2 linked regions of the Pelodiscus sinensis genome follow. The protein of the gene in region 2 purifies or fractionates together with the protein of the main gene of each other region. This does not show direct contact. Links are inferred from orthologs where the notes say so. Each region holds a gene or a part of one and is shown on either strand. Other genes may lie near its edges. The genes, in order: CUL4A and TOR1AIP2.

Evidence for each region.
Region 1: the proteins of TOR1AIP2 (region 2) and CUL4A purify together in Homo sapiens (affinity purification with mass spectrometry; 4 studies listed by BioGRID, with this or other methods). This does not show direct contact. The link is inferred for Pelodiscus sinensis from reciprocal best matches to the Homo sapiens genes TOR1AIP2 and CUL4A.

Annotation. Positions count from the first base shown.
Region 1 is NC_134711.1:237,493,867-237,509,304, forward strand, and holds the start of CUL4A (cullin-4A), read right to left. Parts: upstream 6,097-15,438; 5' UTR 5,533-6,096; coding exon 5,379-5,532; intron 2,667-5,378; coding exon 2,551-2,666; intron 1-2,550. Other genes in the region: PCID2 (PCI domain-containing protein 2), read left to right, coding at 11,542-11,577, 14,738-14,827. UniProt on the Homo sapiens protein: Core component of multiple cullin-RING-based E3 ubiquitin-protein ligase complexes which mediate the ubiquitination of target proteins. As a scaffold protein may contribute to catalysis through positioning of the substrate and the ubiquitin-conjugating enzyme.
Region 2 is NC_134719.1:59,453,539-59,469,281, reverse strand, and holds the start of TOR1AIP2 (torsin-1A-interacting protein 2), read right to left. Parts: upstream 6,912-15,743; 5' UTR 6,741-6,911; intron 5,735-6,740; 5' UTR 5,620-5,734; coding exon 5,586-5,619; intron 239-5,585; coding exon 1-238. Other genes in the region: torsin-1A-interacting protein 1, read left to right, coding at 14,301-14,376. UniProt on the Homo sapiens protein: Required for endoplasmic reticulum integrity. Regulates the distribution of TOR1A between the endoplasmic reticulum and the nuclear envelope as well as induces TOR1A, TOR1B and TOR3A ATPase activity.

The sequences.
Region 1 (15,438 bases), on a different chromosome or scaffold from region 2:
AATTAGATTTCTCTTATCAGGAATTATCTACACTAATCAATAACAAACCTAAAATATAAAAGATGATTATAACTTTTGGTTACGTGGCAGACCAACCTATTTAACATATTGGGTTTCTGTAGACCTACTGGCTTCCGTTCATAATGAGTAAAGACCACAAAGATCCAGGGGAAAAAGACCCTATATGTACAAGTTCCATCAGGCAATTAAAATGATCCGTAACCACATTTCTAGTCAGAGCTAAATTATCCTCTCTTTCCTTCCCTAAATAAATAAACAAGCGTGCACAGAAACATACAGTGGAAACTTGCTAATTAGCACTGATGACTAGAAGATCTGTTATGAACTGCCATTATGAATTAAGTTTTGCACATTAGTGCACAAACAGGTGAAACTACAGTTTCCTTGCTTCTTATTTTATGATGTATACAAAAATCCATCCTGCCCCTTTCTTCCCACACATCAAAATTCTTGTCCAGGCCTTGATGATTTCATGCCAATGCAACTATAATCTCCTCCTAACATTTGAAAACAAGTCCAATGAAATTACAAACGCCTGGACTTGTGTCAAATAATGCATAAAAACATGATCATAAAACTTTTAAATATGGACCTATGTTATTCAACTGGAATGTGCGCTTACAAAGCCCAGTATTTAAATAATGCACAGTTAAATTGTCTTATTTAAAGAATTAACTACATTATTTTATTTTAAATATAGTAATGGATTAAATAAACTATGTTTAGAACAATATGTTAAATATCCCCATGAGATTAGGGAGTAAAGGGCAATCTTTACCCATAATTATTATTTTTAGGTCTTTGACATTCACACCTAATGCACACTGCTAGGTTCTCAGCATGCTCCCTGCTAATAACTCTACAGAACTCCAATGAAAGCTGTAGACCACTTCCAGTGATATGCAATTTCTGAGACCATGATACTGCAAAGAGTACAGCCCAGCAAAAATGTGAATGTCCACCTTATATCCACAGATGTGGATGCAGATGTCTGCAGACCATATTTGTAGACTGGATGCAGATACAAGTTTTGTATCCCTAGAGGGCTATAGCAATGTTTAACACATGTCCAAGTAGAAACTCATTCATTTCAGTTGCACAGTATCATGAGCTTTCTCAGGCACAATCCATTTCATCTCAAGAAGTGGGTCGTGCCCACAAAAGTTCATGATACTATTTATATTTTTGTTAGTCTCTAAGGGTATGTCTACACTACCCCGCTAATTCGAACTAGCGGGGTAATGTAGGCATACCGCAATTGCAAATGAAGCCTGGGATTTGAATTTCCCAAGCTTCATTTGCATAAGCCGGGCGCCGCCATTTTTAAATCCCGGCTGGTTCGAACCCCGTGCCGCGCGGCTACACGCGGCACGAACTAGGTAGTTCGAACTAGGCTTCCTAGTTCGAACTACCGTTACTCCTCATTCCACGAGGAGTAACGGTAGTTCGAACTAGGAAGCCTAGTTCGAACTACCTAGTTCGTGCCGCGTGTAGCCGCGCGGCACGGGGTTCGAACCAGCCGGGATTTAAAAATGGCGGCGCCCGGCTTATGCAAATGAAGCCCGGGAAATTCAAATCCCGGGCTTCATTTGCAATTGCGGTATGCCTACATTACCCCGCTAGTTCGAATTAGCGGGGTAGTGTAGACATACCCTAAGGTGCTGCAGGACCATTCGCTGTTTTTTAAGTTTTCTTCTAAATGTGAAATGATACTTTGTTGCCCACTCAGTCAGTACTAAGAGTGTTGAGACTCTGAAAATTAATTGTGACAATGAATATTGTAACATTGTTATCCTTTTTCATGGAAGCAGGGCCGGCCCACAACATTTTGGCACCTGAGGCAGGGAGCTCAAATGACATCCCCATGCCACCTTTTCTTCTGCCTGCCTGTTAGGTCTCTTGTGCCCTCCTTCCTCCAGAACAGCACTCCACCATCTCTGTGCATTTAGAGCAGAGAAAATACGTATGCACCAGCAGCAGACAATTTTCTACACTCTGGGTCCTAGTGGTGCCCCCCGCCCCTCAGTTCACCTCAAGGTAAGACCAGCCCTGCATGGCAGGTCACAGCATGCAAATAAGAGAACCAGTTATTACTAGGACTCTGAGTACCTGCATACTCTAATGAGCATAACATCTCATTTCAGCATACAGAATCAGCAGAGATTGGAAGAGTACTACAACTTATAGTCTCTGCCCTTTGTCCCTCATTCTGACTCCTGCCAAAATACATGCTTCCATAGCCTTCAATATGACTAGCATTAGTTAGATGAACCCTAATCCTGCTAGTGCTCCATTATTCCAGAAAATTCCAAGGAGAACATTTGGGAAGTCACTGATCTGGAATATGATAAACATGTTAGGAACAGAACATTGAACTGATCCGTAGTCAGAACAATATGCACTGTAAACATAAAAATCCCATTTACATTTCCACTGTTTAGGACCATGAAAATTCTAAAGAAATCAGTATTATATTCTACCATTTTCCTAGTTTTTCTAAAAAATACAACACAAAAACTTGTCTCTTACCTGGTAAAGATCTTCAAGATTGTATTTAATAGAGGTGCTACTTTGTATAGCTCTCACTGCTTCATCAAGCTTCTGCCAAGTGTCCTGAGTGTAATTATCAGGCAATTTAGGTCTTTCTGTAAAACCAGTTAGAGGTAAGTGGAAAACTGAACCATCAGTTAGGGAAGCAAAAATCCCATTTAAAATGTTAACAAGATAAACATATAACATCAGGGGTTGCTCCAGCCAAGCCGGGCAGGGCTTGCCACACTGCACCACAGGCAGGATACTGCTCCAGCATGCTGGACTGCTCCCCGTCCGCTGTGCAGCGACCTGGCCAGGCTAGAGCAGCCCCTTGTCCGTGGCGCACTGCTGGTGGGGTTGCTCCAACCAGGCTGTACACCAGTTAACTAGCCACTCAGTAAGCATCACCTCACTGGGTGATGCTTACCAGTAACCGGTTACCTGTCTACATCCCTATAACCAATACGAGTTATGTCTTTTTAAATACTATTTAATAAGGTGACAGACACATTGGGTTTCACTTCACACTTTAAGCTTGATTTAAAAAAAAAAAAGGAATATTTGCAATACCATATAACATTGGCAAAAGCCACTAAGGGCTGTTTTTATCTCAGAATGGTGCATACAAAGGCCCAGCTGCCACAAGTTGTTTTACATGGGCTGCTCCTCTTCACATACACAGATCCCCAATAAAATACATCTGCACAGATAGAAGAGCCTGCATGATCCTGGACAACATTTGTTAAACATGTCCAAGAATACTATTTCAGAATGCACTAATGACTAATTAAGTATTACAATTTAAGATTTTTTTATTTAATAAAGCTTAATTTAGCATTCCAAATTCTAGCAAATTAGTTTGGTCTACTGCAACATCTTCGACACCATTCTTAATTAGCTTTAACACTGTCTATACTAGTTTTATTTCAATATATTTTCTTTAAAAAGTATCTGACCGCCAAACCATTGCTATACGTTATCTCTAACTACACTGCATGTAATAGAACTTTCTACACATAACATATATTTGATTTCAGAACTTGCTCTTAACTGAAACGTTAGAAAGACTGCAACACAAACTGTTATACAGAAACTGCATCACTTAGCTGAAAAGGCAATACTAAGACAGTACAGTAGCCAGACACTGGACTTGTCTGACAGAATGGTTGGGTTCTGTTGCCATCTACATCACTGATGTGCTGTGTGACCATCAACAAATCACTTCACTTTTTTATGCCTCATTTCCTAGGAGTGTAATAGTATAGTCAATAATCGATAAGCAAAAGCTTATAGATAATTGCTATAGACTATGTGCATTCCCCACCCCAACCCCGACAGTAAATTTTTTAGCAGCTCAGCTCAGTCCTGGCTTGTGCTGGGTCCAGGACCAACCCCTGCTACAGCTCTGCATTTGAAGTGTATTAGTAGCCGGGTGGGCAGGCAGCCCAGCTCAGTCCAGGCTTTCACTAGTCTGGAACCAACCCCCTCTGTGGCTCTGAATTTAAAGTGTATTAGGAGCCAGGCGGGCAGGCAGACTGGCCCAGTTCCGGCTCATACTGGGTCTGGGAGTTCAGACACACACACACACACGCACAGTCAGGGGCTGCTGCCATCCCGCGCTGCTGTCTCTGTGTGAGAAGCAGCAGCACAGGGTGACAGGCAGCCAGTCAGTGAGGGGAGATGGTTTTTAAACTGGCCTCCCTCATGGACCAGCCCCCGCCTGGCACCCCACGCTGCTGCCAAGGGGCTCCTCAGGAGTGGGGCTAAAGCACGCTGGTTGCTGGCCCGGCTCCTGGGGACTATAAAATAGTCAAGTAATCGAAAAGAACTCATGAGGTTAATCAACTGCTCAATTAACCGATATTTAACATCCTTATCATATCTCCTATCTGTAAGACAGTAGCAGTGATGCTGGAACCAGAAGTGATGGAAGTGCTCTGGCATCCCAGGCTATGACTATTAACAACAAACACCAAATACAGGGCTTCCATCATACACATTCCTAACTACAAAAAATTGTTCCAGCCCCTTGGGTAAGATTAGCCTGTCTTTGGGAGCAACAGATGAGGGTCCCTTAGGATTGCCAGGTGTCTGGTTTTGAACCGGACAGTCCAGTATTTGAGCTTTCTGTTAAGGAAACAAATTGAGAAAATACAAATGAGAAAGTATAAATGTCCGGTATTTTCTAAATAAGATGTAATGTAGATTGTGATGTAATGTCAAGTGTGTCCAGTATTTTTGTTGAAACCATCTGGCAATGCTAGGGCCCCTAGGCTCAGAACCTCGCATATGTAAGTCAGCTGAATTAACTTCCTTGGGGCTACAGGATCAGGCCCTTGTCTGCCAAAAAAAGTCACTGCCTATACATAGGAGCAGGCTGAGTAAGAGCCCTTGTAGCTGTTGAGACAAAAGTTAGCGGAGTTAAGGCCTTTTCACAGTCACTTTCCAGAGCAAACCCAGCCTGGCACCTATTTCTTGGGGAGGAAGGAACTAGAGCAGCCCCGACACCACCCCACCTCGGGAGCGGCGCTGCTCTCAGAGGGTGCAGGCTGCACGGGCTCCCGGGGCTCGAGCTGGAGGCTGCACAGCGCCCCCAAACCACAGGGTGGGCCGGGCACCTGGGCTGGCTCCCCCGCCTGTCAGTGTGCGCAGCAGCCCGCAGCCAGGGCCCCTCCCAGCCGGGCCCGGCGGCCCCCTCAGCGGGGAAGGGGCGGGGGCAGCAGGGGGCCGAGGTCAGGGCCGCGGGGTCCACCGGGGGCCCGGCCGGGAGGGGGGCTGGACACGGGACGCCTCGAGCCGCCGCCCGCTCCCCGGCCCAGGCCCACCTCTGAAGTTCTTGATCACGAGTTTCTTGGAGGCGGCGGCGGCGGCAGCAGCGCCCCCGGCCCGGGCTGCCGCCAGCGCGGCGGGCTTGGTGAGCCCGTTGGTGTGTTCCCCCAGCGCCGGCAGGTGCGGCTTCCTCTGCGGCTCGCCGGCCATGGCCGCCCCCTGCGCGCTGCCCGGCCTCGGCCGCCTGCTGGCAGCGGCTGCGGAGAGTCACCGCCAGCCCGGCCTCCCCCCGCGGCGCCCCGGCTCCGGGGGCCCCATCAACCCCGCCCCGCTGGCGAGGGGGAGGGCGACAGGCCGCGGCTGCAGCCGGCTCCGCGCACAAGATGGCCCCCGAGGCGGCCGGGCAGGGGATTCGCGGGGGAGCGGAGGCGCCTGCGGGGCGGCCCCTGGCTGGACTCGGACCCTTCCGCGGCGGGGCGGGCGGGAGAGCAGTTCCGGCCCGGGGACACAGTGAGAGGAGGCGTCGCTGGGCTCCCCCTGGAGGCCCAGGAGAAAGCGAAGGGGTCTCGAGGCTGGCGCAGGCTGGGAGCACGGGGCCCAGGGCGAGCAGCGGGGAGCGCCCCGCTCGGCGTCTTTCCTCCCGGCCCTTCTCCGCGGACCCCGCTGGGAGCGGTTTCCAGCCGCGTTACTTCAGCCCGGTGAAGGAGCAGCACTGAGGCGCTCCATGTTTTTCAAGCGGCCTTAGTTGACCTAGGCACCGGGTTGTCAGTTTAGGTTGGCCGGATTTCTGGAGACTTCATCACATGACCTGTAATCTTTCATTCAAGCTTAGTCTTTAATTCTTGGGAGACCCCAGGCAAATCAGGGAGGGTTGGCAAGTTTCAGCGTAGCTGTCATTCTTTTGCTATTCTGTTCAGATTAGCCAGTAGGCACAGTGCCTAGGGCCTATGAAAAATTTAGGGCCTAAAAAAAAAAATCATAATTGACTCAAAAATAAGAAAACTACTAAGTCACACTTAATAATTTGCTATTTGTATTAGAATATACATTCAAATTTTGAACATCATTAAACACAGGTGTATTAAATCTTTAGTCAACAAACAATATAAGAACTAGTGGTCACCAAGTGAAATTAATAGGCAGCAGGTTTAAATCAAACAAAAGGAAGTTTTTTCTTCACTCAGCACACAGTCAACCTATGGAACTCCTTGCCAGAGGATGTGGTGAAGGCTAGAATTTTAACAGGATTCAAAAAAGAGCTAGATAGATTCATGGAGGTTAGGTCCATCGATGGCTATTAGCCAGGATGGGTAGGAATGGTGTTCCTAGTCTCTGTTTCCCTGGAGGTGGGTGACAGGAACAAGGAAGGAATCACATCAGGATTACCTGTTGTGTTCCCCCCTCCCCCATGACATCTGGTATTGGCCACTGTCGGCAGACAAGATACTGGGCTGGATGGACTATTGGTCTGACCCAGTATGGCCGTTCTTATGTTCTTATATGATAGTGGTCTATAAAATCATGACTGACATGGAGAAAGTAAATAAGGAAATCTATGTACAGTAAAACTCCATTGGTCCGGCATCCAAAGCTCTGGCACTCCTGATGGTCTGGCACCATCAGGAACCCGGAAGTGCTCCGGGCAGCCGGACAATTGGAGCTGCTCTGTGCCGGGCTTCCCCAATTCAGCCGCTGCTGAAAATGACCAACAACTGAATCGGGGAAGCCGGGGACAGAGCAGCTGGGGTGCTGCCGGGTTGGTCCCATAGCGTGGCCCCTCGGCGCTGCGGGACCAACCTGGCAGCACCCCAGCTGCTCTGGCCCAGACGTCCCCGATTCAGCTGCTGCTAAAACTGATCAGCAGCGTCTGAATCGGGGATCCCTGGGGCAGAGCCGGACTATCCGAAGGGGGGGCTATGAGGGGTCTGGGGTGGCATTCCCCCCACCCCAGACCCCTCATAGCCCCCCCCTTCTGATAGTCCGGCATATTTGATAATCCAGTACCCCCTGGGTCCTAAAGGTGCCGGATTATCGGAAGTTTACTGTACTTGTTCTTATAACACAAGAATTAGGGGTCATCAAATGAAATAGGTAGCAGGTTTAAGACAAGCAAAAGGAAGTATTTCTTCACACAGCACATGGAATTCCTTTCCAGAGGATGTTGTGAAGACCAGACTTTAAAGGGGTTCGAAAACTAGATAAAATTCATGGAGGATAGGTTCATCAATGACTACTAGCCAGCATGGACAGGAATGGTGTCTCTAACCTCTGTTTGTCAGAGCGTTGGGAATGAGCGACAGAATGGATCACTTGGTGATCCTGTTCTGTTTAGGGTTGTAAGTGACTAATCAACCAGTTGACTATTCGATAAGCAAAAGCCTATCAAATAGTCAACTAGTCACTCCCCTCCTCTTCCCCCCCCCCCCCCCCCCGGCTTGCTGCCTTTATCACAAAGAGGCAGCAAGGGAAGGGAAGAGAATGCGGGTGCTGGAGGGAGCCGGCTTAAAAGCTGGTTCCCTCTAGCTCCGAGGAAGGGGGCAGGAGTGCAGCTAACTTTGAAAAGTACAAGAGTCCCTGATGGGGCTCTTGTACATTTCAAAGTGGAAGTGCCACATGGAGCCTGGGGTAAGTGGGAGACTCAGAATCCCACACTGGCCCCAGGCTCCACATGGTCGCTTCCGCTTTGAAATGCACAAGAGCCCCCACTGGGGTTCTTGTGCATTTTAAAGTTGGAATGCTGCATAGAGCCTGGGACCAGGCTCCAGGTGGCATGCCAGCTTTGAAATGTACAAGAGTCCCTAGCAGGGGTCCCCCGTTGACCCCAGGGCTTCCACTTTGAAAAGCACAAGAGCTCCCACTGGGGTTCTTGTACATTTCAAAGGAGGAACGTGGAAGTTCTTATCGACTAATCGAATAGTCGATGGAAATCCCATCAACTATTCAATTAATTAATCAAAATTTAACATCCTTAGTTTTGTTCACTTCCTCTGGGACACCTCTCTTTGGCCACTATTGGAAGACAGGATACTGGGCTAGATGGACCTTTGTCTGACCCAGTATGACTGTTCTTATATAGGTACCTGAGGTGGTTATGTAACACCATGCATCTTGTGAATAAAACTGGCCAAGATAAAAAAAGTTCATACTATTCATCCTATTAAAGACAAAGTCCAACATTTCTTGGAGTTCTAGTTTCCTCTTCTCAGCCTGAAACACATCTTAATTTTCAGAGTGATGAACACCCACTAAATGAAATGGTGTCTCTGACAAGAAGGGCCCAGGGCTTCACTAGCTGTTTGTTGTTGTTGTTGTTTTAATTTCCCACTCTTGCTATGGTTGTAGCAGCTTAAAAAATAGTGAATATAGGAGCACAGGTATAGACCAACCCATGTTTTAACCATCATGTCATCTAAATCTACTCAGAGCAGATGTAGACAGCACACTGTTTAAAATCAGCACTCTTACCATAGAAGAAGCTGTATCAATAATAACAACAGTAGAGAACTGGACATTTTTTATGTTTATGGTCATTTGTGAAATTTTTTACCTTAATGTACCATGAAGGGTGTTAATAATAGGATGTAAAAGTTTAAATGGTTAACTGATACTAGGCTTACTGTTAACCAGATCTTACCCCTTAACCCTGGCCACATCAGGCTGGCCAGCCAGAGACCCTAGCCCTGGCCACTTCAAGCATGTAGGTAGGGCCCTGGCTGCAGTGGGTAATATAACTCATGGGGCTTCTGCCCCAACCACAGTGGCCAGCCAGGACCCAAGAGACAATGGTCAGGCCTGCTAGCAGAACCTCTGCCATGGAACAGGCAGGCAGGATCCTGGTCACAGCCATGTTGGAGCAGCCCCAGCCCAGCCCCATCCGTAGGTAATAGGCAGGACCTCAAACATGTCTGCAGTCCCAGCTGCAGTGGGCAGGAGTAGCCTCACTCCTGTCCATGGCTTGCAGGTGAGACCCCAGCCCTATCCACAGAGTGCCAGCCAGCCTAGAACAGCTGTGGGCTGTATCTGGCCAGCCCCACTGGGGGTGTGTCTAGACTACAGTGGTTTGTCGACAAAAGTCCACTTTTGTCGACAAAACTATACCTGCGTCCGCACTGCCACTGAGTTCTGTCGACAGCTGTAAACCTCATTCTACGAGGAATAACACCTTTTGTCGACAGAGTTTTGTCGACAGAAGGCATTATTGCATCTACACTGTCCTTTGCGTCCACACTGTCATGTCGACAAAGTGGCTTGCTTTGTCGACAGAACTGGATGTAGTCTAGACGCTCTTTGTCGACAGAAGCTTTGTCGACAGTATCTGTTGACAAAACTTTTGTTGACAAAAGCCTGTAGTCTAGACGTACCCTGGAACGCCAGTCCTGGCTACTCTTAGCCAGCTCACCGAAGCAATCTCAGTTCACTAGTTAAATGATATAATTTTAATTGTTTAAATGGTTAACTTTTTAAACTAATATTTACATCCCGAGTTAATAGGCCACCTCACCTTGAATGGTCCCTTGAAATATGTACTAACTACTTGTGCTGAACAATCTGTTTCAACTTGTATATAGCTGAGGCACTGAATACATTTCCCAGACCAGAAGAAAAGCTCTGTAATTTAAAAGCTTGTGTATCACCCAGTAAGAGATGGATCCAATAAGTGATATTACTTAACGCAGGCCCGGCAAAAGAGTTTGCAGGGTCCAAGGCAGCATGCTGTGGTTGGCTGCACTGCGTGGCTGGGCAGCACCCAGCCAGGGTAGTGAGCGGGTGGGCGGGCACTGGGTAGTGCAGGGCCCTGAAGGCACATGGCTCAAGGCAACTGCGTTGCCCACCTTGCCCTAAGGCTGGGCCTGACTTACCCACTGGTTTTGAACCAGATGTATACGTAATCCTGAAGATATGGAATAATCTCTCAGAGGGTGCATCAACATATCTAGTTATTCACCTAGTTTTACAACAGGCTACATAAAAAATGCTAGCAAAGTCAGTATAAACTCAACCTTCATACAACTATTTTAGGGATGTAAAATCCCAGTTAATTAGACGGTTAAACATTAGGTTAATCTAACATTTAACTGGTTAACTAATTAAGCAGTATCTGGGTAGGGGCTGGGGCTTTTACTGGCTCCCAGCTCTTGGCCCCTAAGCCCCGCCAGCCCCTGTTGAGGATGGACAGGGTTCCCCGCGCACAGTGGCTGCTCCAGACATTGGTGCAGTCCCTGCCTGTGAGGTGCCCAGGCTTGCCATGGATGGGGGGATGTTCTGCCCGAGAGCAGCTCCTGTCCACAGCCAGCCCCCTGTGGGACTGGAGTAGCCACCTGCCTATGGCAGGCGAGCAGCTGCTCCAGCCCCCACCAGTTATTGGTTAATCTTTCACATCCCCAGTTTATACTACTATCTATACTATACATTGTAAAACAAAAGGAAAAAATACATAGCACTTTAAAGATTAACGAGATAGTTTATTAGCTTCAGGGGGTAGCCTAGTTAGTCTGTTACAGGAAAAAAATGGTCTGGTAGCGCTTTATAGACTAACAAAATATGCAGATGGTATGTTAGTCTTTAAAATGCTACCTATTTTTTTCTTTTGTTTTACCACGATCAGACTAACACGGCTACCAATCTATTACTTTTATACAGTGTAAGTAATATGTTCCACTGGATGTGTCTTGTACGGTTAAAGTGGGAAAGCAGGCCATTTTCCAGGCATCTTGCGGTGTAGCACTTGTGGGTTTCACGCCGCTTTTGCCTAGTTACAGTTTGTCACAGCCCCTTTTGCTCGCACAGGGCGGGACAGTCTCCAACAGGCGGGAGGCACCGCCCCCTTTGCCCTCCAGCGCGAACAAGAACAACAGGGAGGGGAGGGGTGCGACGAGTCACGTGAGCGCCTTGCTGGGGCCTGGTGTCACGTGCGAAGCGGGCGCGCCGTGAGGGAGGCGGAAGCGCGGAGCTCTTGCCCCGCCTGCGGGGTGCGCTGGAGTGAGGCGCGAGCGGCGGCGCGAGGCCAGTGAGTGCGCGCGGGGGAGGCGGGTAGAGCGCGTCCTGGGACCCCCTCCCCCCCCCGCCACTCTTCCTGCGTCTGGCGCTGGCCCCGCGGGTGGGATGGGGCGGGGAGGGTCTTTAGAGCTGCTCGTTTCGCGGTGACGCTTCTGTTTCCTCTGCAGCGAAGCACACGCCCCCCCCCCCCTCCTGATCCCCAGCATCGGCCCGGGTCTGCCCATGGCGCACATCACCATCAACCAGTATTTGCAGCAGGTAAGCGGCTTTGTCCCCCCCCCACCCCCCGTTCCCTTGCTCTTGCTACAGGCACGTTGCCCTGCTGCTGAAAAGGCAAGCGAGGCTATGGGAGGGGATAACTAGGGAAGCTTCTTCTAGGGCAGGGATGAAAGCAGAGCAGCATTTGTTTCATGTGGCGCTTCAATGTGCGGAGGCCGAGATAACGACGTAAGCCCCCCAGTCCTGTGATAAGATCTGTTAGCGCGGGCTCTGGCATCTTTACCAAGTCCTCTTGTGACTTCAGTGGGCTTTGCCAGCCCAGATAGACAGCGTTGCACTAGCCCAGTTCAAGCGCTAAATCCAATATCACGGCTAGTGCAGCACAGGGGGTAACTCAGGCTCTCCTGTTTCCCCACCCCTGCCACCGAGTTAGGTGGAGATAAGCCCAAGTCTCCATTTAGCCCACAATTTCCATACTGCTGTTTTTACTGTTACCTGAATCCCTGCTAGCATTACTCTGTTGCCCCAGGCTGAGAGGCTTGATATAAAGATTCCTTCTCTATCAGATGTAACACACGCTTATTTAAGCACCTTCATGAGACATGTCAACTTGATCAGTTCCATAAAAGGAGCCAAAAGTTAAATATTAATTGTTCAAGTCCTTTTCCCAGTTGCTGTGGTTTCAGTCATGTTTTTCTGTCTTTAGGAAAGGGTTTTCTCTGTGTTTCTGAGTGACAGATCCATACTACTATAGAAAATTTAATATAAATAAATGAATCAATATGTTGGCAAATGCATGAAGTAAAATTGTAAAAAGGAAGCATTTAATCTGTTACTTAAAATGTCATTTAAAGTAATACGAGGGAAAACATTGTGTGACATTTTAAAAATTGATCATATCCCTTTAAATAGTCATTGAAATTTAAATCTCAGGCTCTGTTGTCAGGCTTCTTAACTGTAATAACAGCCGTGCTAGATTACTGTCACATTCTCTATCATATTTTCATAGTTTTAGATTTTGCTATTGAGCATTTTGCTTTAAATATTTTCAGAGAATGCTTTCTTTAAAAAAGATGAAGTCAATATAGAGCTGAACTCATTGATTGCATGTGCACTATACTTAACTGTTTAATAATGCTTTATATCATTGCTAATATTCTTTATTGACTTTAGGACTAATTTGGTTTCTGCTAATGATATGGAAGTGGGAATATATTTCCCTGAATAGTGTAGACAAGAATACAGGCAGTCCCCGGGTTACGTACAAGATAGGGACTGTAGGTTTGTTCTTAAGTTGAATCTGTATGTAAGTCGGAACTGGCGTCCAGATTCAGCCGCTGCTGAAACTGACCGCCAGTTCTGACTTGCATACAGAATCAACTTAAGAACCCCAGGCGTCCCCAAGTCAGCTGCTGCTGAAACTGATCAGCAGCTGATTCCAGGAAGCCTGGGGCAGAGCAACTCTGCCTCGGGCTTCCTGTAGTCAGCGCTGGTCAGTTTCAGCAGAAGCTGACTTGGGGACGCCTGGGGCAGAGCAGCTGGGGTGCTGCTGGGTTGCTCCAGTAGCGCTGCTCCTCGGTGCTACTGGACCAACCCAGCAGCACCCCATCAGCTCTGCCCCAGGCGTCCTGATTCAGCCGCTGCTGAAACTGACCAGCAGTGGCTGAATCAGGACCTGGGGCAGAGCAGCTGGGGTGCTGCCAGGTTGGTCCAGTAGTGCCCAGAGCGGCGCTGCAGGACCAATCGGCAGCGCCCCAGCTGCTCTTCCTCAGGGTCCAAAACAAAAGCCTGGTCTGCTGGGGGGGGGCACACTAGCTGCGCCCCCCCTCCCCAGCAGACCAGGGACACGGGGAGCAGAGCCGCAGCGGCAGCGGGGTGCCGCGCCTCTGAGGCTTTGCTCTGGCAAAGTCTCAGAGGCGCGGGAACCCGCCGCGGCTGCAGCTTCAGTCCCGGTGCCTGTGGTCTGCTGGGGACGGTCCCCAGCAGACCACAGGCACCGGGACTGAAGCGGCAGCAGCGGCGGTTCCCCGCGCTTCTGAGGCTTTGCTCTGGCAAAGCCTCAGAAGCGCGGGAACCCGCCCGGTGCCCCTGGTCTGCTGGAGACGGTCTCCAGCAGACCAGGGGCACCGGAGCAGCTTACGAACGGGGCTTTCTCGCCCCGGAGCTCGCAGGTAGCAATCCGCCACCTTGACCTCCGGGGCGAGAAAGCCCTGTTCGTAAGTGCGGATCCGACATAAGTCGGATCCGCGTAAGTCGGGGACTGCCTGTAATGCTATGTACGCAATCCTATATCCCATCCATACCCAAAACTCTAAAGGGTGTGTCTACACTGCACTCATAGCTTGAAATAATTGGGTAGCTTATTGCAAGTCAGTTTTGAAATAGCTTATTTTGATTTTTGGCGCTGTCTACACAGCACTTATTTTGATATAAATTGTTATTCCAAAATGTCCCTTACTCCTTGTGGAATAAGGTTTACAGGGACATTGGAATAGTGAGCTCATTATATTTCAAAATAACAGGCGTGCTCCAAAGATGCGGAATACCTATTTTGGGATACCCAGGGTATCCCATAATAGTGCTGCAGTGTAGACCAAGCCTAATTGACTTAAATGAGTTCACAAAGATACTCAGGTCCAGTCATGTAGCTCCTGCTTAAGAAAAACTGCCCATTGATGTGAAAGGGAAGATGTTTTGAGTAGGGAAGGCAGGATTAGTTTTTTTATTAGTTTATGTTATTAAATACTAATATGCATGTGAAATACGTTTGAGTCCTTATTAATTAAACCCAAACTATCCTTCCTTTCAGCAACTCCAACAATAAAATATAACTTGATTTATGCCCACAATTTTCCTTTTAATTTATAGAAATCTGTCTACAGATATACAAAGTTTTAAAATTCTACAGCCAGCAAACCCATATAGTTGTCTTGGGAGGTCACTGATCTGAGCTACTTTGTATAGCTAAGGAAAAATAAAGATGTCTGATTTTTTCCTGGTTGACGAATTTTAATGTGTCTTCCAAATTTAGCCAGTGAAAATAACGTGTGAAATTAATATTTGCAGAGTCATTAACAAGAATGAGAATGTCATCACAAAAGCATGTTTTTATTAGCAATGTGGCAATATGTATTACATGGTTAAGACTAAATCTTGTTCCTTAAAGTATATAATTGTTTTCTTGAATTTTCTTATGTAGGTCCAAGAAGCCATTGATTCCAGAGATGGATTGTTTTGTGCAGAATTGGTGTCATTTAAGCATCCTCATGTAGCAAATCCCAGGCTTCAGGTAAAGATCCAGTTACACTAACAAACCAAAGCCCCAATCCTGCAAGGTGAGGTGCACAGGCTGACCTCTGTTAATTTCCGAGAGGCTGGGAAAGAGTCTAGGATATTACTCATTTGCATGACATTTTTAGGGGCTTAGATGGAAAAATTCAAGAAGTTCTGAAGAAAATAACACAGAAGAGAATAGTGTACATAACAAGCATATAGGCAAAAATCCCTACAAAACACAAACCTTGCTCCAGAAAGGAGAACCTGCTTAAGGAAAAACAATTTTTTGCCACTGCTTTTATAAAGAAAAAAATCCTACAAAATGTAAGTCAGCAACAGTTCTGTAAAAGTAACTCATCACAGTATTTCAATATAACTTGATAACATTCTGTCTATAGATTATTTAAACAAGCTGTAGACTTCCAACAGAAAATGACATGCTTAGCATCCATTTGTCCTCTTTACCTTCACAGTACAACTTAACATAATTGTAAGATCCTTTCCAGAAAAATACAAAGAAACATGGATGTTCTATTCTTTACACTGTAGTATCTGAGAAGTGAGCGCTCGCTCGCGCTCTCTCTCTCTCTCTCTCTCTCTCTCTCTCTCTCTCTCTCTCTCTCT
Region 2 (15,743 bases):
CCATCAGAACTCACTGGTCTTTCCTCTGATGAAAGCTCTTCGCCGACTGTTAGAGGGCTTCCAGACACACAGCTCGTCTCTTGAGGGCCTAGCGTTTCTATTTCTGGAGAGGCTTGCAGTTGGACAGCACCAGAATCCTCCACCACCTTTTCTTGACCGGTCCTCGGTGCATTTTCAGTCTCTTGGGCCTGGGAAGTCTTCTCCATCACTTGTCTCCTCCATTCTTGAGCTGGGCAAACTGGTGGGATCAAAAAGTCAAAAGCTGTTTATGTTTTTACTATAATAATCAAGAATATTGAGTTGCCTACAGGGCTGGCCCACAATATTTTGGCACCTGAGGCGGGGAGCTCAAATGACGTCCCTATGCCCCCTCGCTTGGGCCAAAACTTTGAAAGGTTTCAATTCTGCCCTCCTTCCTCTAGCACAGCACTCCCCCATCTCTGTGCATCTAGAGCAGAGAGAATATATCTGCACCAGCAGCAGACACAATTTTCTACTCTCTGGGTCTTAGTGGCGCCCCCCCACAGTCTGGCACCTGAGGCGGACACCTCAGTTTGCCTCAGGGTAAGGCCAGCCCTGGTTGCCTACTAGTATTCTACAATCTCCCACCAAAACTCCTAATCCTATACACTCCAACACTTGACACACAAGAATGGGGACTCGAGGTTCCCATAACCCCTCACCCCCAGTGACCTACATTGGGACATCTTCATAGAGATCTCAAGCTGGCCACTAAATGTATGCCTGCCACTCTACAAATACAATAAATGGTTCACGCTCGTGGCCCTGAAAAGATTGGGTGCTGGCTATTTTAGAAATGTACCCCTTTTCTATGGTACACACCCAGCTGTTGAGACATACAATTGAAATGTAAATGCCAACGGACAATTTTCTTCCACTATTTGATCTGAAGAAGTGGGTCTGGCCCACGAAAGCTCATCACCTATTAAACCATCTTGTTAGTCTTTAAAGTGCTACATAGTCCTGTTTTTTGTTTCATGGAGAGTTCTAAATGCTGAAGAGTCCCTTGACTTTGAAAATATAATTCATTAAATTGCAGGATATGTCATAAGGCCTGACTATGTATCTGGGGCTTTCCAAGTTGGTAGGGCAAGGAGAAGAGGATGTATATTATGTTTTGTGGTTTGGGGAGCAGGGGCAGATGACTGTTTTGCGGGGCCCCGGGCAGCGTAATTCTACAGGGCCCACCCTTTGCCACGGCGCATGCACGGGGCTTTTTGAAGCGTGGGGCCCGGGGCAGCCACCCCGTTCGCCCTGCCCTATATCTGCCCCTGTTGGGGAGTTTCTACTCATGGTACTGACATGATAGCAGATTGAGCCGAGTGATTGCAAACCTTTTCTTTGCAATTATATTAACAAAATATAACTTGTTTCTGCTGTATTCAAGGTCTTTATCTGTTGCCTTTCTGTGGCTGGTCTAGCAAAGAATTGAGGTGTGCTTGTAGAAACGGAAATTTAAAGCAAATATTAGAGAATATTTTCACAGAGGAAGTTTTGGACTTGTAAATATGAGTATTTGCCAGGAACCTGAATCTTAGACTTCCAAGGAGAGAACAAACAAATATAAGTGAGCTATAGGTTCCAGCAAAACTATCTGACATAGTTAAGATTTTAAATATTGAACATTTGCACAACCTGTTCACAAAAAATCTGCTGATCAAGAATTATCATATGGAAATTAGCCAGCAACTAATTTTTAATTCAGAATAAATCTGACAAAACTGTAAGATGCTCCCAGATAACTCAAGGCCAGGGGAAAATGTAACTGTGTTGAATGCAACTATTTAGTATGAATTACTCACTGAATTCCATTAGTATCAGTTTGGATTGGATACAATGATCTTGTGTGTTCAGGGGGAAGGACTGTCATTGATCCGTTTTACACTACTGCAGTGGTTCTCACACTTATCTGATTCTCCCCCCCATTATGTCTTTAGTGGTTTATGCCCCCTTTCCACCATGCCAGTACCAATAAAAATAATCAACATGCAACTCGCATTAAACAGAACAAACAGTAAGGCACTGATTCAAACAAAGCCAGTGATCCTTTGTAACGAGAGCAAAAGCAACACTGCGATTTTGGTTGAGGCTTATAATCAAATGTGCACCCCATGTCATGGCAAATGGATTAGCTTTCAGATAGGGATGTAAAATCCTCTTTAATTAGTTAACTGGTTAAACACTATGTTTAACCAGTTAACTCATTAAATGGGGACAGGCTGGAGTAGGGATGTAATAGTACAGTCGATTAACTGATGAGCAAAAGCTTACTGATTAATGTTATAGACTATACATTCCCTTCCCCCGCCCCCCCCTCCCCCGGCCAGTAAATTTTTTTAGCAGGCTGGCAAGTAGCCTGGCTCAGTTCTGGCTCGCACTGGATCCAGAAGATCAGAGCCCACCCTGGACAGGGGCTGCTGCCTCTGATACAGAGGCAGCAGCGCAGGATGACAGGCGACTGGTCCGCAAGGAGAGCTGGTTTTTAAACCGGCTCCCCTTGCGGACCAGCTCCCGCCTGGCACCCCACGCTGCTGCCTCTGATACAGAGGCAGCAGCACACAGTGATGGGGGGCTCCTCAGTAGTGGGGCTGGAGCGCACTGGCTGCCAGCCCCACCCCCAGGGACTATAGAATAGCCATGTAACCGATAAGAATTCATGAGGTTAATTGACTATTCAATTAACTGATATTTAACGTCTCTAGGCTGGAGCAACCCTCCATCCGCCGCAACTGAGCTGGAGTGCCTCTCTCCGCAGTGCTGGGCCAGGCCCAGGGCGGGCCCTGCAGAACTGGAGTAGCCCTCTGCCTGCAGTGGTTGTGGGGCTGCTCTAACCCCCACCGGTCAACTGGTTAACCATTCACATCCCTACTTTCAAATGGCAAAGACTTTGTATAATGCTATGCAGGCTTAACAGAAATCTTTCAACATGCACAGCACCAGCTAGAGCCAATGCACAGGGCCATCTGAGGGCCTGATATGTCTGGAGGAATGGACTTTGCTAGTTATTCAAGGCTGGGGGATAAACGTGCACGTCACAGAGATATCGCAGAAATACATTCCTTGCCTCCCCCCGTTTGAAAACTTCTGCGCAACAGAATAAAAGGACAGAGTATACATAGAAAAAAAAATTAAATGGGCCATCTAAGCTGGCTTCTGAATACCCAGGTTGTGCACATGTAGAGTTGGGATCGTTCTGTTTTCCATATGCAAAAGCTGGGTCCGGCAAGCTTGTGTAGAACAGTTGGCCTATTGTGTGACCAGCTATAATCTCCTGATCTCTGAGTTCTGTAGAATTTGGATCTCAGAACTGATCCAAGTCATCTTTGTGTGGACAATATGGCCCCTACAGAGCTCCTGGACTAAGTTCCCTGTAAGCTGCTTGACTGTGCAGCAGCCTGTTTAGCGCCATGCAGGCACGCAGGGAACCCAGCCCAGGTGGACCTGCGGTGGCCTGAGGAATGACACTCCCTCCCACAGCCTGATCCTAGCCCAGCTCCGAGCTGCCACTGCCACGAGACAGGCACCCCTCCCCCAGCCCAAACCTAACCTGGCTCCCAATCTGTCACAGTTGGGGCTAGCACCCATCCCACAGCCCCAGCTGTGACAGATTGGGAGCCATGGTGGGGAGAGTTGCCTTTCCTTTCCAGCCCAGGTGCTGCTGGGGGGTCCTTGCTCCTTGCTATAGCCCCAGGGCAGCCTGCACCTCAGACTCCTCATCCCTGACCCCACCCCAGGTCCTGCACTCCCAGCTGGAGCCATACACCCCTACACCTCAATGCTCTGCCCCTGGTCTGAGTAGGCTTGCCAGATGCTTTCACCAAAAATCCCAAACACGTCAGGAAAAAAACTTGGTTGAGCAAAAAAAAAAAAAAAAAACCCCAACAACCAGGAGAACAACAACAACAAAAAAGTCACTGCGCCTTTAAGAATCCCTGTGCTCCTTGCTTCACCCTCGCCCACACCAATGCAGCAGGGGAAGAATGTCCCCGCCAGCCTTCCATCCAAGAAAAACAGAAAATACTGGACATTTTACATGTCCGGTATTTTCTGTTGGTTTTTTTTTTTACCAGACAGGGGCCAGAAATAACAGACTGTCCGTGTGAAAACCAGACACCTGGCAACCCTAGGCCTGAGTCTCCTCCTGCACTCTGAACCCCCTCAGTCCCACCCCCACTACATGACTTTTGTTATGGGCACCAATAGAGCGGTGATGTGTATCATATTCCCCTCCATATTGGGGCATGTGACAAAAGCAATTCCTCACGTGTGTGGAAAACTTAGAGGGAACCCGGGTCCTGGAACAATTTGTATAGTGGGGGGTGCTGAGAGCCATTGACTCAAACTACAGACGTCATGGAAACCACTTCAAGCCAGGAGGTACAGCAGCAGCATCCCCCGAATTCCAGCCCCTATGTTTCCCTAAGTCCACTGCGTGCTCACTTTTTAAACATAACCATATTCATGTACTTTGGGAAACTGGGAACGTTAAATTCAGCTCTGCTTCCATTATTATGCAGTAGAGGCCACTTTACCCCAAATACTGGCCAGGGGGCAGGCCTGCTGCTGTGGGGAGGGGGAGAGGGAATAGGGCAGTTGCCCTGGGGCCCAGAGCTTCAAAGGAGCCCAGGGGCTCTTAGCCACCACTGCTACTACTGCTACTTTAAATCGCTTGGGGTGGTTCTATGGGATGGGGGGGGCGTGGCTTATTCTGCGTCGCATGGAGGCCCCGCCCCTTCCAGGAGCCCAGAGCCTTCCACACACACCTCCGCCAGGGAGGCTATTGGCATTCCTGCCTGTGGGACCCTACATGCCCATGCCCCTTGTGATAAGAATTTCATTTAAGGGCTTGAAGCTTGATTATTTTAGAGGTCAGGAAGAAATCCCCTCTATCGTCCACAGAGGTAGCTGAGTTCGGTCCCTGGACTGAGTTTGTGCTTGGAAGTGCAGGGAGGAAGGGGTTCTTTTGTTCTGAAGCACGGAGCATTGATCATGGAAAGAATCACGAGGTTAAGTATCCATGGTGTTGTCAACCCAGGGACTTGTTCTTATCGGACTCAGAAATTCAGAAGACTGGGTTTGCTTTAAGCATACGATCAGGCCAGTAGGGATTTTCCTGGGTTTTCTTTTTAGTGAACTGGACATAGAGAAATGAAACAAAGGTGGTTTTTCCTGTTCAGGTTTTAGTTTCGTTTCAGAGATTTTCTCTTTTAGTGTGTCTGGAAATGCAGTTTCCATCTTGGGGCTATAGCAGTGGAGACCTGCATGTAATCGACCCCCTTCATCACAAGCCTCCGAATTTCAAGGAGAACTCTGTTTAAACACAGATGCCCCAGCACACTTATTGCAGCAGCTTAAATGCCCACACACACAAACACCCCTCTCCCTGACTCTCGCCCAACCCTGCAAGCCGACACCCATGGTGCTGCCACCCTATTCTTAAAGGGCCAGCTCCCATTACTTTTATTAGAACACTAGTAACAGGGACTAATACAACAATAAACAAATAGTCAACTTTATTACTAAATAGAAACCTATTTCTAAAGCATCTCCTTCAGCAAACTTACCCTGAGGAGACTCTTGGTCTCCATTTTCTGCCATTCTCTTGTTCTGGTGTTTGGCCTCTTTGCTAGATTGTTACACTTCCTGGTTAAGTCATACAGATGCCTGCTATCTTCTTTCTGGTCAGCGTAGCTTGACTGTTCGCAGCCAGCTCCTGGACACAAAGAGACTAAAGCAATGACTCATAGTGGGAAACTTGAGAGCCTCCCCACCCCCAAAGCCCCTTCAAAGCTGTGAGGCGCAGTGTGAGGCGTTTACCTTTATTATGATGAAATGTACCAAGATGCAGCTTGGATAATCAGTGATATCTGAGGACGTTAGGCCTCGTGCTGTTAACAATCAGCTCATGTGACTGAAAAGGTGTTCAGCCGAGTCTCTCTGGGCGATCTTTAATTGTGTGACGGTAACTCGACTGGAGAAAATACCTTTTGTGCCCATGTACACCAAGCGGGAGCCCTTATGTCTGAATCCCATTGGTGGGAGGATGATGGGGGAAGTTGCACGGTACCTGCCTTTGGTCCGAGTCTCCAAGGCTGTTGCACCAGCAATTTCATCCACTCTTTAAAAGATGTTTGAATCACTCAGACTATAAGTCGTGGGGGGAAGGGCAGGGTGTTGAAGGGAAAAGGAGGAATGTCTCTCCACCAGCCACGCGGCAAGAATGTGACCCCACCTTTTGAACATGTCACAACAGCGCAAAGCGAGGCAAGGACACAAATACCGGAGGAGAGTGACGGGGGGGTCAGTTTCTTCACATCATAAAGTTTCCTGTTGTTTCAGTTTAAAGATGGTGCATTTTGTGATGCTAATCATGTGAAGTCAGGCAGCAACAGTGAGCAATGTAACCTGTTTAAGGATCTGTATGCAAATGAGCAGCAGTCTGTGCCTAACACAGAGTGCCTAACACAGAGTCTAAGAAGATATTTCCTCACACCAGATGGCCTGTCGCCTCTATTGTCATGCCCTCTAACTGACTGCAGCACCGTATTTGGAGTTAATCAAAACTGTATGGAGGCAAGTAGTCAGACCTACAGCTCACTCCCAGGAATTTCTGCCCTCTGCCCCCACCCCACCGGCATTTGAATCTTCCTCTGTGTTATCAGAAAGATCAGGAAATGAGGAACTAAAAGTAGCTCTGCTGTGCAGAGCTGAACACTTACTTGTAGTTTGCAGCAGTGCTTAGCAGCTATTTCGTAGCAGAGGGATTGTTACAGGCAGACCCAAGCTGCTCCCTACCACAGACATCCCAACGGCCCTTCAGTTTCCATGCTGGAGGGAAAACAGATCCTTTCCTCTCAAATACACCCACCCATAAACTCTTAATCCTCCCACTGTCAACGTGACAGTGAACCTTGCACCCATCCAGGGCGCCATCGTGGAATGCTGGGATATGTAGTTCTCCCCCCTCTCTTTGATTATGGCCATGTTGCTTTGAATGAATAGTCCTACATCAGTTAGTGCTGGAGTGGGGAACCTTTTTTTGCGTCGGGGGCCGCACACAAGTGAGAAGCAAAACAAAGAGTAAACAAACAAACAAAACCCCTCACAGACGTAGCCCCGCACTGAGAAGGAGAACAACACTCCCCACATTCTCCTCACACACCAGAGCCTAGGGGATCCCCAGCTAGTAGAGTTTGTGTGCTTCAGCTCTAGGGTTGCCAGGTGTCCGGTTTTGAACCAGACAGTCCAGTATTTGAGCTTTCTGTCCGGGAAACAAATTGAGAAGATACCAGACATACACATTTTCTAATTAAGTAAGTTTTATTATTATCATGAGTATTAGTACGTAGCTGCGTACTGCCTGGCTGGTAGACATGCTCACACTGCGTGAGCGTGTCTACCAGCCAGGCAACGCAGCTACACAGTAGAGAGGAGGGGAGCGGGGTCAGGGCGGGATGGAATCCCTGGGGCCGGAATCGCTCATGCGCCCTGCCGGGACCCTGCGCAGGATGGGCAGCACCCCGGGATCTGCGTGCGTCCAGGCCAGCCCCGCTCCATGCCAGCCAGTTATCCCCCTGCTTCCCCTGACCCCCTCCTGGCCAGCCCTGCTCCCTGCCGGCTGGTTCCCCTCAAATCTCCCCCAGTCAACCCTGCTCTCCCCGACCTCCTCCCAGCCAGCCCCACTCCCACCGACTCCCTCCCAGCTAGCCCTGCTTCCCGCTGGCTGGTCCCACACCCCAATCTCCCTCAGTCAGCCTCGCTCTCCCCAGCCCCCTCCAGTTCTGAGATCAAGTGTGTCTGGAATTTTTTTGAAGCCATCTGGTAACCCTATCCAGCTCCCAGTGCTGGGGAGGGGGAGCCCTGAGCCTTAGTGGCTGCATCCGGGCATTAGGTTCCCCACCCGTGAGTTAGTGGTTTTGTTCTGATTACAAATATAATTATTTTCAGGAAGTAACTCCTCTGTTTGGACTTACCGAACTCTACAATTGTACAGAGCATCCTTCAAACAGAGTGTATCTGAAACCAGTTTGGAACCAGTGAAATGGTAGAATTACATTCATATAATCATTTTCGGGCAAATTCCAAAGAAACGTAGCCTCCTTGCAGCTCAAGCACTACTCAGCTCAGTCTCTAGCTAGGACCCTAGGTGGGTCTGGCTGGATGTTCAGTCTGTCTCCGTCACTCGTGACCTCACCACATAACCAAATTCCCAATTGTAGATTACCGCCAGCTCAAGATTACTCTATCTGGATGGGACACTTAAGAGGCATCATAGACTGTGCTGGAGGATGCTCGAAAGATGTGGATGCTTGTATAGCAGCACCTGCTGCCAAATGTGCCCTTCAGTGGTCTTTGTGGAGACGCCATGACATCAAGCTTGCTACGAAGTTGCAGACTTAATAGAACTAGAGTTACACCAACTTTATTGTACAGCAGAGAAGCAGGGCACTATGGAAGACTGAAGAGAGTGGATTGATTGTTTTGATTCGTCATCAGCTGCTCCATAGTAAGTGGCAAACCAAGATCAACAATGAGGATACTCAGAATTAAACCCAGCAACTGTATCTTTCAGCCTAGGTGGCTTCCTGGGTGCCGACCTATTCTTAGGATGGAAGGCCAATTAACAGAATTACAGCAGAGGGAGAAAGTATTAAGAGGCATAAGACAAGGGAAAAAGAGGTGATTTATGTAAAAGCAAAGATTTATGTACAGCACTGGCACAATGGGAGCCTGATTTGGTCTGGACCAATAGTACTACATAGTACAAATGACAAGTAATCTGTGGTTGCTTTTTTTTTTTTTTTTTTTTTCAATTACACAGGCCAGTGTAAAACAGCAAGTAGGAAAGACAAATCAGAGAAGCCAAGATTTATTAGGTTTTTTTTTCTGGAACCCAAACCAGCCCCATTTAGAAAATAAATTGTCCCGTTGGCCTTCCTGACATATGGCCACATTATTAAGCTAGCCTTGTACAAACTAGGCTCCAGGGTCGAGCAGCTTCAGTGTAAAAGGTGGAATTTTTCAAATGTTATAACTTGGGATATAATATTGCTACATGCATTTTCCCATGATGAGAGGTCTTAATTTTTAAATTATATCTCACAGGGCATATTTTGTGCAAAGATTATTACAGTAGCGTTTAGGGAGAGAATACAGGAGTACATTTGATCACACATACTTGAAAATATAAAGCTAAACAGTTTTTGAATTACTGGCAATTATAACTATTCTAATTGGAAATGTTGGCTTGTCTAATTTTGTCTCCCTCTAGCAAAATTACAATTTTTCACAATCCGTTGGGGGTGGGGGGGGGGGGGGGGGTTGCTAGGTGTATATATTGTCGCTTAGCAATGTTAACTTTTTTAAAGCAAAGGTTTTTGGATTTTATTTTAGAAATATAACAAGCTAGAAAAGGATCAATAGATCACTTTGTATCACAGAAGTCTGCTTGATTACACAGAGCGTATCTTGAAATGCTGCTTTTCATTTACAGTCAGTAACCACATAATTTAATTCTTGTAAAGCCCTTGGAGACTTTTGGATGAAGGTAAAATGGAAAGATTTTACCTGCACATTTACCGGATGACTGAAAGATTACGAATCAGTCATTTACTAGCTCTTTCTATCTGACTTAAATCAGAATAAATAGCTCTGTGGACTTTAAAACATCTCGATTAGGTGATTATCTCTGTAACACTCTGTTGTGCTGCTTAATGAAACATAAAGCTCATCTTATTTGCTCTCCTATTCCATCTTAAAAGAATGACAGTTCATACATTTGGGCCTGGCACAGAAGGCATGCATAATTTACGTAACACATTTTCCCTTGCTTCTAAACAAAATTTGAACTTCAAGAGAACACTTGTACAACACTATTAAACATTTTTTTCTTCTTTAATAAACATCAGACTTGAGAGGTAGAGAGGCTAGGAAGTGAGAAAAGTTGTTGTCCCACATTCTTACGAAGTGCTCAGAGCATGTCCGTGTCTCCTTAAATAATTTACAATGTTCCAGGATGAAAAAAAAGGCATCAGCCTAAATAAGATGGACTTTGCTGTAGGAATGAGGTGCTGTCTTCCTCCCTTCCCCCAGTCCCTCCCAGGTTTAGTAAAATAAAAACCCTTTAGGACCTCTTCATTTTATAGTTAAATCAGCCTTGCCTAAATCATTTGTATATACGTTGTGTGCTGTATTTGCTCAAATCTATATGAGAAAAATAAATCTAATAATGATCGTCAGCACCCTCCTTAGGTGGTTGTGGAGCCTGGAACAACACCCTCTCCTCCCCCCACAGGGCCAGCCCACTACATTTTGGCAACTGCGGCGGGGAGTTCAAATGATGCCCCCTTTTCTCCTGCCTGCCTGTTGTCTCTTGTGCCCTCCTTCCTCCAGCACATCACTTCACCATCTCTGTGCATCTAGAGTAGAGAGAATACATCTGCACCAGCAGCAGACACAATTTTCTACACTTTGGGTTCTAGTGGCGCCCCCCCCCCCCCCCCCCAGTCTGGCACCTGAGGCAGCCGCCTCAGTTCGCCTCATAGTAAGGCCAGCCCTGCCTCTGCCCCTGCCTCCGTCCCCACTCCAACCCTCGTCCCTGCTCCACTCCTCCCCCACCTCTGCCTGAACCAACACTGCCTCCTCCCAAGCAACATGGCCTGGGGAATTACTGGGGGGCCATTACCCCCCTTGTACTCCTGTGGTGGTGGGAAGCAGAATAACCTGGCCCTAGCCTGCTCTACTCCCTGGCTACGTCTTCACTAGCACCCTTTTCCGGAAATGCTTAAAACGGAACAGTTTTCCGTTTTAAGTATTTCCGGAAAAAGCGTGTCTACATTGGCAGGATGCTTTTCTGGAAAAGCACTTTTTCCGGAAAAGCGTCCGTGGCCAATCTAGACGCGCTTTTCCACAAAAAAGCCCCGATCGTCATTTTTGCGATCGAGGCTTTTTTGCGGAAAACACTACTGTGCTGTCTAGACTGGCCCTTTTCTGGAACAGTTTTCCGGAAAAGGACTTTTGCCCGAACAGGAGCAGCATAGTTTTTCCAGAAAAGCACTGATGATTTTACAGTAGATCGTCAGTGCTTTTCTGGAAATTCAAGGGGCCAGTGTAGACAGCTGGCAAGTTATTCCGGAAAAGCGACTGATTTTCCGGAATAAGTGGCCAGTGCAGACACAGCCCCCGAGCCCAGCTTCAAGCCCTGTTGCTCAGGAGACTGGAGGAGGTTAGGACTCTGGCACCTACTTCCGCCTAGGAGATGGCGAAGCAGAGCGTGCTGAGGCTGGACTGCTTCGCTTCCTGTGGCTCCCACGCTCCCTGGTGAGTACGGGGCTGGGCCCGACCCTGCTACTGTCCCAGAACCCCTGGGTAATCACCGAGGCTGCCCTGACATCATAGGGTTCCCCAAAATGCAGGGCTCGGGGCCACCCCAACCATTCTATGGATGAGATAGCTCTGATGATCTTGAATTTACATCATATCTTGTATCCAGATTGATCCCAGATAACATTATATGCTGTACTTGTAAACCACCCTGGGTGCTGTGTGTCATTAAAAATTGTATTTATAAAAATCAAACTTCCATACTATTTGTTACAGGAAAGGAATAATTAGAACTGTTGATTAATCATAGATAACTCACACAATTAACTCAAAATTAATCACAATTAAAAATTAATTGTGCTTAATCACACTGTTAAACAACAGACTACCACATGAAATGTATTAAATATTTTGGATGCTTTTTTAAATTTTCAGATATATTGATTTGTATTATGACACAGAATACAAAGCGTGCAGTGCTCACTTTATATGGTTACATTTGATTACTATCATTGGCACTCTAAAAATGATAATAGTATTTTTCAATTCACCTCATACAAGCACTGTAGTGCAATCTCTTTATCATGAAAGTGTAATTTAAAAATGTAGATTGTTTTGTTGCATAACTGCACTCAAAAACAAAACAATGTAAAACTTTAGAGCCTACAGATTCATTTAGGTTGAACAAGAGGTAGAACTAACGCAAAGAAAAGCAAGTTTTTTTACATCTATGGGAGATACTGCTACCAGCTTCTTATTTCAGAGGACCTCCTTCCATGCTTATGATGGATTCTGCTTGATAACAAGGTTTCATATTATTTTATTTTTGAATGCTGTTACTTTTTGTACATAATTCTATCTTGGTAAGTTAAACCCCCACGATAAAGAGATTGCACTACGGTACTTGTATCAGTTGAATGAAAAATACTATTTATTTTGTTTTTTTACAGTGCAAATATTTTAATAAAGTGAACACTTTGTATTCACTTTGTATTCTATGTTGTAATTGAGAGCAGTATATTTGCAAATGAAGATAACATCCACAAGTATTTAAATAAATGGTAAACTTAAAAAACAACCAATAGTTTAGCAGCACCTTAAAGACTAACAAAACATGTAGATGATATCATGAGTTTTCGTTGGTACAACCCACTTCTGCTGTTGTACCCACAAAAGCTCATACCATCTACATGTTTTGTTAGTCTTTAAGGTGCTGGTAGGCTGATTGGTTTTTTTAAAGTTTTTCCAGTTACAGACTAACTCAGCTACCCCTCTGAAGCTAAATAAATGGTTTTCTATTATTAACAACATAATTAATCACAATTACATTTTTAACCAATTGACAATCTTAGGAAAAACAATATATACATTTATGTTAATTTCATTGTTTTTAATCTCATAACTCTTTTGCACAACATATTAGTGATTTGCAATCGCATCAACCCCCACAGGTAGATATTTCGTTAATCCCATTTTATGGCAAAATTGAAGTACTCCTAGGCACCAACCCAAAAAATGCTTATATGTAGAAGTTGCTACATATATGTGAGTAGCTCCATTGACTTTAATGGGGCTTCTCATGTGAGTTGGGTTTAGTGTGTGTGAAACCGCTTGTTCAAGTACAGGCAGAAAAGCTATGACAAAAGCACTCTGGACTCCCAGTCCTTTGCCTGTCTCATTGCCTTCTCCCTGCTTGTGGCTGTAGCTTTTCCATTTCTCTCAAAGGGCCATGTGGAGACAGGTCAATTTCACTTTTGTTGCTAGTCACTTTCATAGCCCATTCCTCCCAAGCTTGTTTAAAACAAACTATGGGGACCAACTGAGAAGCTTCCCAGAACCATCTCCCTGCCCCCAACTATCATAAGTGCTAGACTTTCCAAAGCTACATGTGGGGGGCCCTGTTGGCCAAGAGCCTCCAGCAGCACTGCTGGGACTGGAGGAGCCCGTTTTAAAACCTATTTCAGAGGCTAGAGTGCTGCAAACTCTTAGGGCAAGGAGCTATCCTGCTTCCACCTCCCCAGAAATCACTGGGGCAGCAGCTCCCAGTGTCCCTTTTCAATTGGTGCTGGAACTAAGGGCGTTGGTGCACCTCCCAGGGCCTGAAGTGGTTTTCATCCCATCCAGGGTTTACACTTTGCTTCACTAGCTCTCAGCCCCCTACCCCACTGCGCAAACTCCTCGCCCCTCGCTTTGCCCCTGCCGCCTGGAGAATGGGGCTAAGGCAAGTCCACGGGAAAGGGGACAGTGCCAGCCCCTGCTCTGTGGGAGAAGGGGACAGAAAGCGAGGGAGGGAGAGGGGAGAAAGGGGGGATAGAGGGGGCGGGGGCCAGAAAGGGGGGAGGGAGAGGGGGCGGGGACAGAAAGGGGGGAGGGAGAGGGGATAAAGGGGGTGGGGACAAAGCGGGGGAGGGGAAAAGTGGGGATAGAGGGAGCAGGGACAGAAAGGGGGAGAGAGAGGGGGAAAAGGGCGGATGGGGGGCAGGGACAGAAAGGGGAAGGGAGAGGGGGGAAAAGGGGAATGGGGGGGCGGGGACAGAAATCGGCCGGGAAGGGAGGATAGCGGGGAGGGGGTAGAGGGGGCGATAGGGGGCGGGGACCAGCCCCAGCTGTTGACAGCTGCGGGGCAGAACAGGGGCTGAGAGCTAAGCAAAGAGCGAGCGCAGCTGTGACACGGTGCTGTATCACGTGACTTCCAGTCCAGCGGGGAGGGCTCGCGGGAAAAGCCCTGCAAGAGAAGCGGCCCTCCCCGCAGACTTCCGCCCTTCAACATGGCCGACAGGAAGTGAGGCTTTCAGGAAAGCGAAGCCAATCACCTAGTTGCGACGGCAGCGGCTTCCGCCCCGGAAGAGCAAGGGCGTGTCCGGACGGAAACGCGGCCGGCGGGGGAGGCGTTCCGCGCGGCGGGAGAACGCGCCGAGAGCCGTCTCGCGCCTGAGCTCCGGGCAGCCACCGCCGAGATGCAGACGCGACGAAGAGCCGCGGCCGGGGCCAAGGAGCCGGAGCCCAGGCGGCGGGGCGCCGAGGCCTCGGAACGTGAGTGACTGAGGAGCCGTTGCTGATCCCGCGACGCGCCCTCTGCTTGAGGGCGCAGGGGAGGGGGGACCCCGACGAGGGGTGGCCGAGCCCCCCTTGGGGGAGCTGCCGCGCTCTGCCCCCCGCTGCGGGGCGGGGCCATCGCCGGGGGGGTTTCCTTGCCCCGCGCCCGGCTTCTCCTGGCCGTTAAACGGTTCCCTTGAGACCGTTGCCAGCTGAGGCGGGCGGGGGGGCCGAGGGGGCGCCCGGGCTCTACCATGTGACCGGCCCATCTGACCAGCAGGCACCTCGGGTTTAGGCAAATTAGCCTCTGAGGGGCCGGGGCCGGGCGGCTCTGGAAAGCGGCCTGACAGCGGCTTTGTTTTGCGCCCCGCTTCGTTCCCTTCCGCTCCCTGCTGCGTCCGCGCGGGCAGCGGGTGGCGCCTGTTCACCTCAACTGGAAACAGCCCCCCGGGCTCCGGCAGCTCTGTGCAGACTCCCCGAGCGTGGGGAGGGGTCGCGAGCGTTCGTGGGCGCAGCCCGGGTTGCTATTCCACGTGTTACTGTTGAGCAGGCAGGGAAGAGATGTGGCCCGAGCTCAGTCAGCCCGGGCGTCGTGCTGAGCATTTTCCCACTCGATTGTCTATAAAAATCGTTAAGGAATCTACATGGAGCCGGTTAAGTTGTGCATTGTGCCACGTTCGTCTTCAGTGGGCCCCAACGCGGAGCCCGTGGGCGCCATGGCGCCCGCCGGGCCATTTATGTGCACTTGCGGAGCAATCTGGGCTGGCCCCGCCCTGGGCGTGCGGCAGGTGTCAGCCCCGGGCGCATGGGTGACCCCTGCCCGGGGTCGCAGCACATGCCAGTACTGGCCCCAGGCACACAGCACCTGGGCAGCCCCTGCCCGGGGTCACGGCACATGCTGGTGCCGGCCTGGAGCGTGCGGCGCATGCTTGGCCCCGCCCCCAGGCACGTGGCCTGTGAGCAACCCCGCCCCCGTAAGCGCAGCACGTAAGCGGCCCTGCCCCCAGGCGCCCGGCAGCCCCAAAATGTTGGGAACCCCTAGTCTTAGTTGTCTTGCCCCAACATAATTTTGTGTCTAAAGTCAGTTACAAATAGACCAGTGAATTGTATTTATCAAATAGCTGATACGCATTAGCTTCCATACAGTACTTACTCATTTAACATGTGCCCACTTTACACGTTTTTGCAATAGCACGATTTTTTTTAGGGAATGTTTTTCAAATAACACAACCGTCCTCGAAATAACAGGATAATAATCAAGTGGCAGACTACTTCACGCTGCGGTATAAGTTGGTGAAAACAGTGATAATACGCAGGGCTCGACAATTAGTGTAATCTACTTGCCTGTGGCAAGTAGATTACAA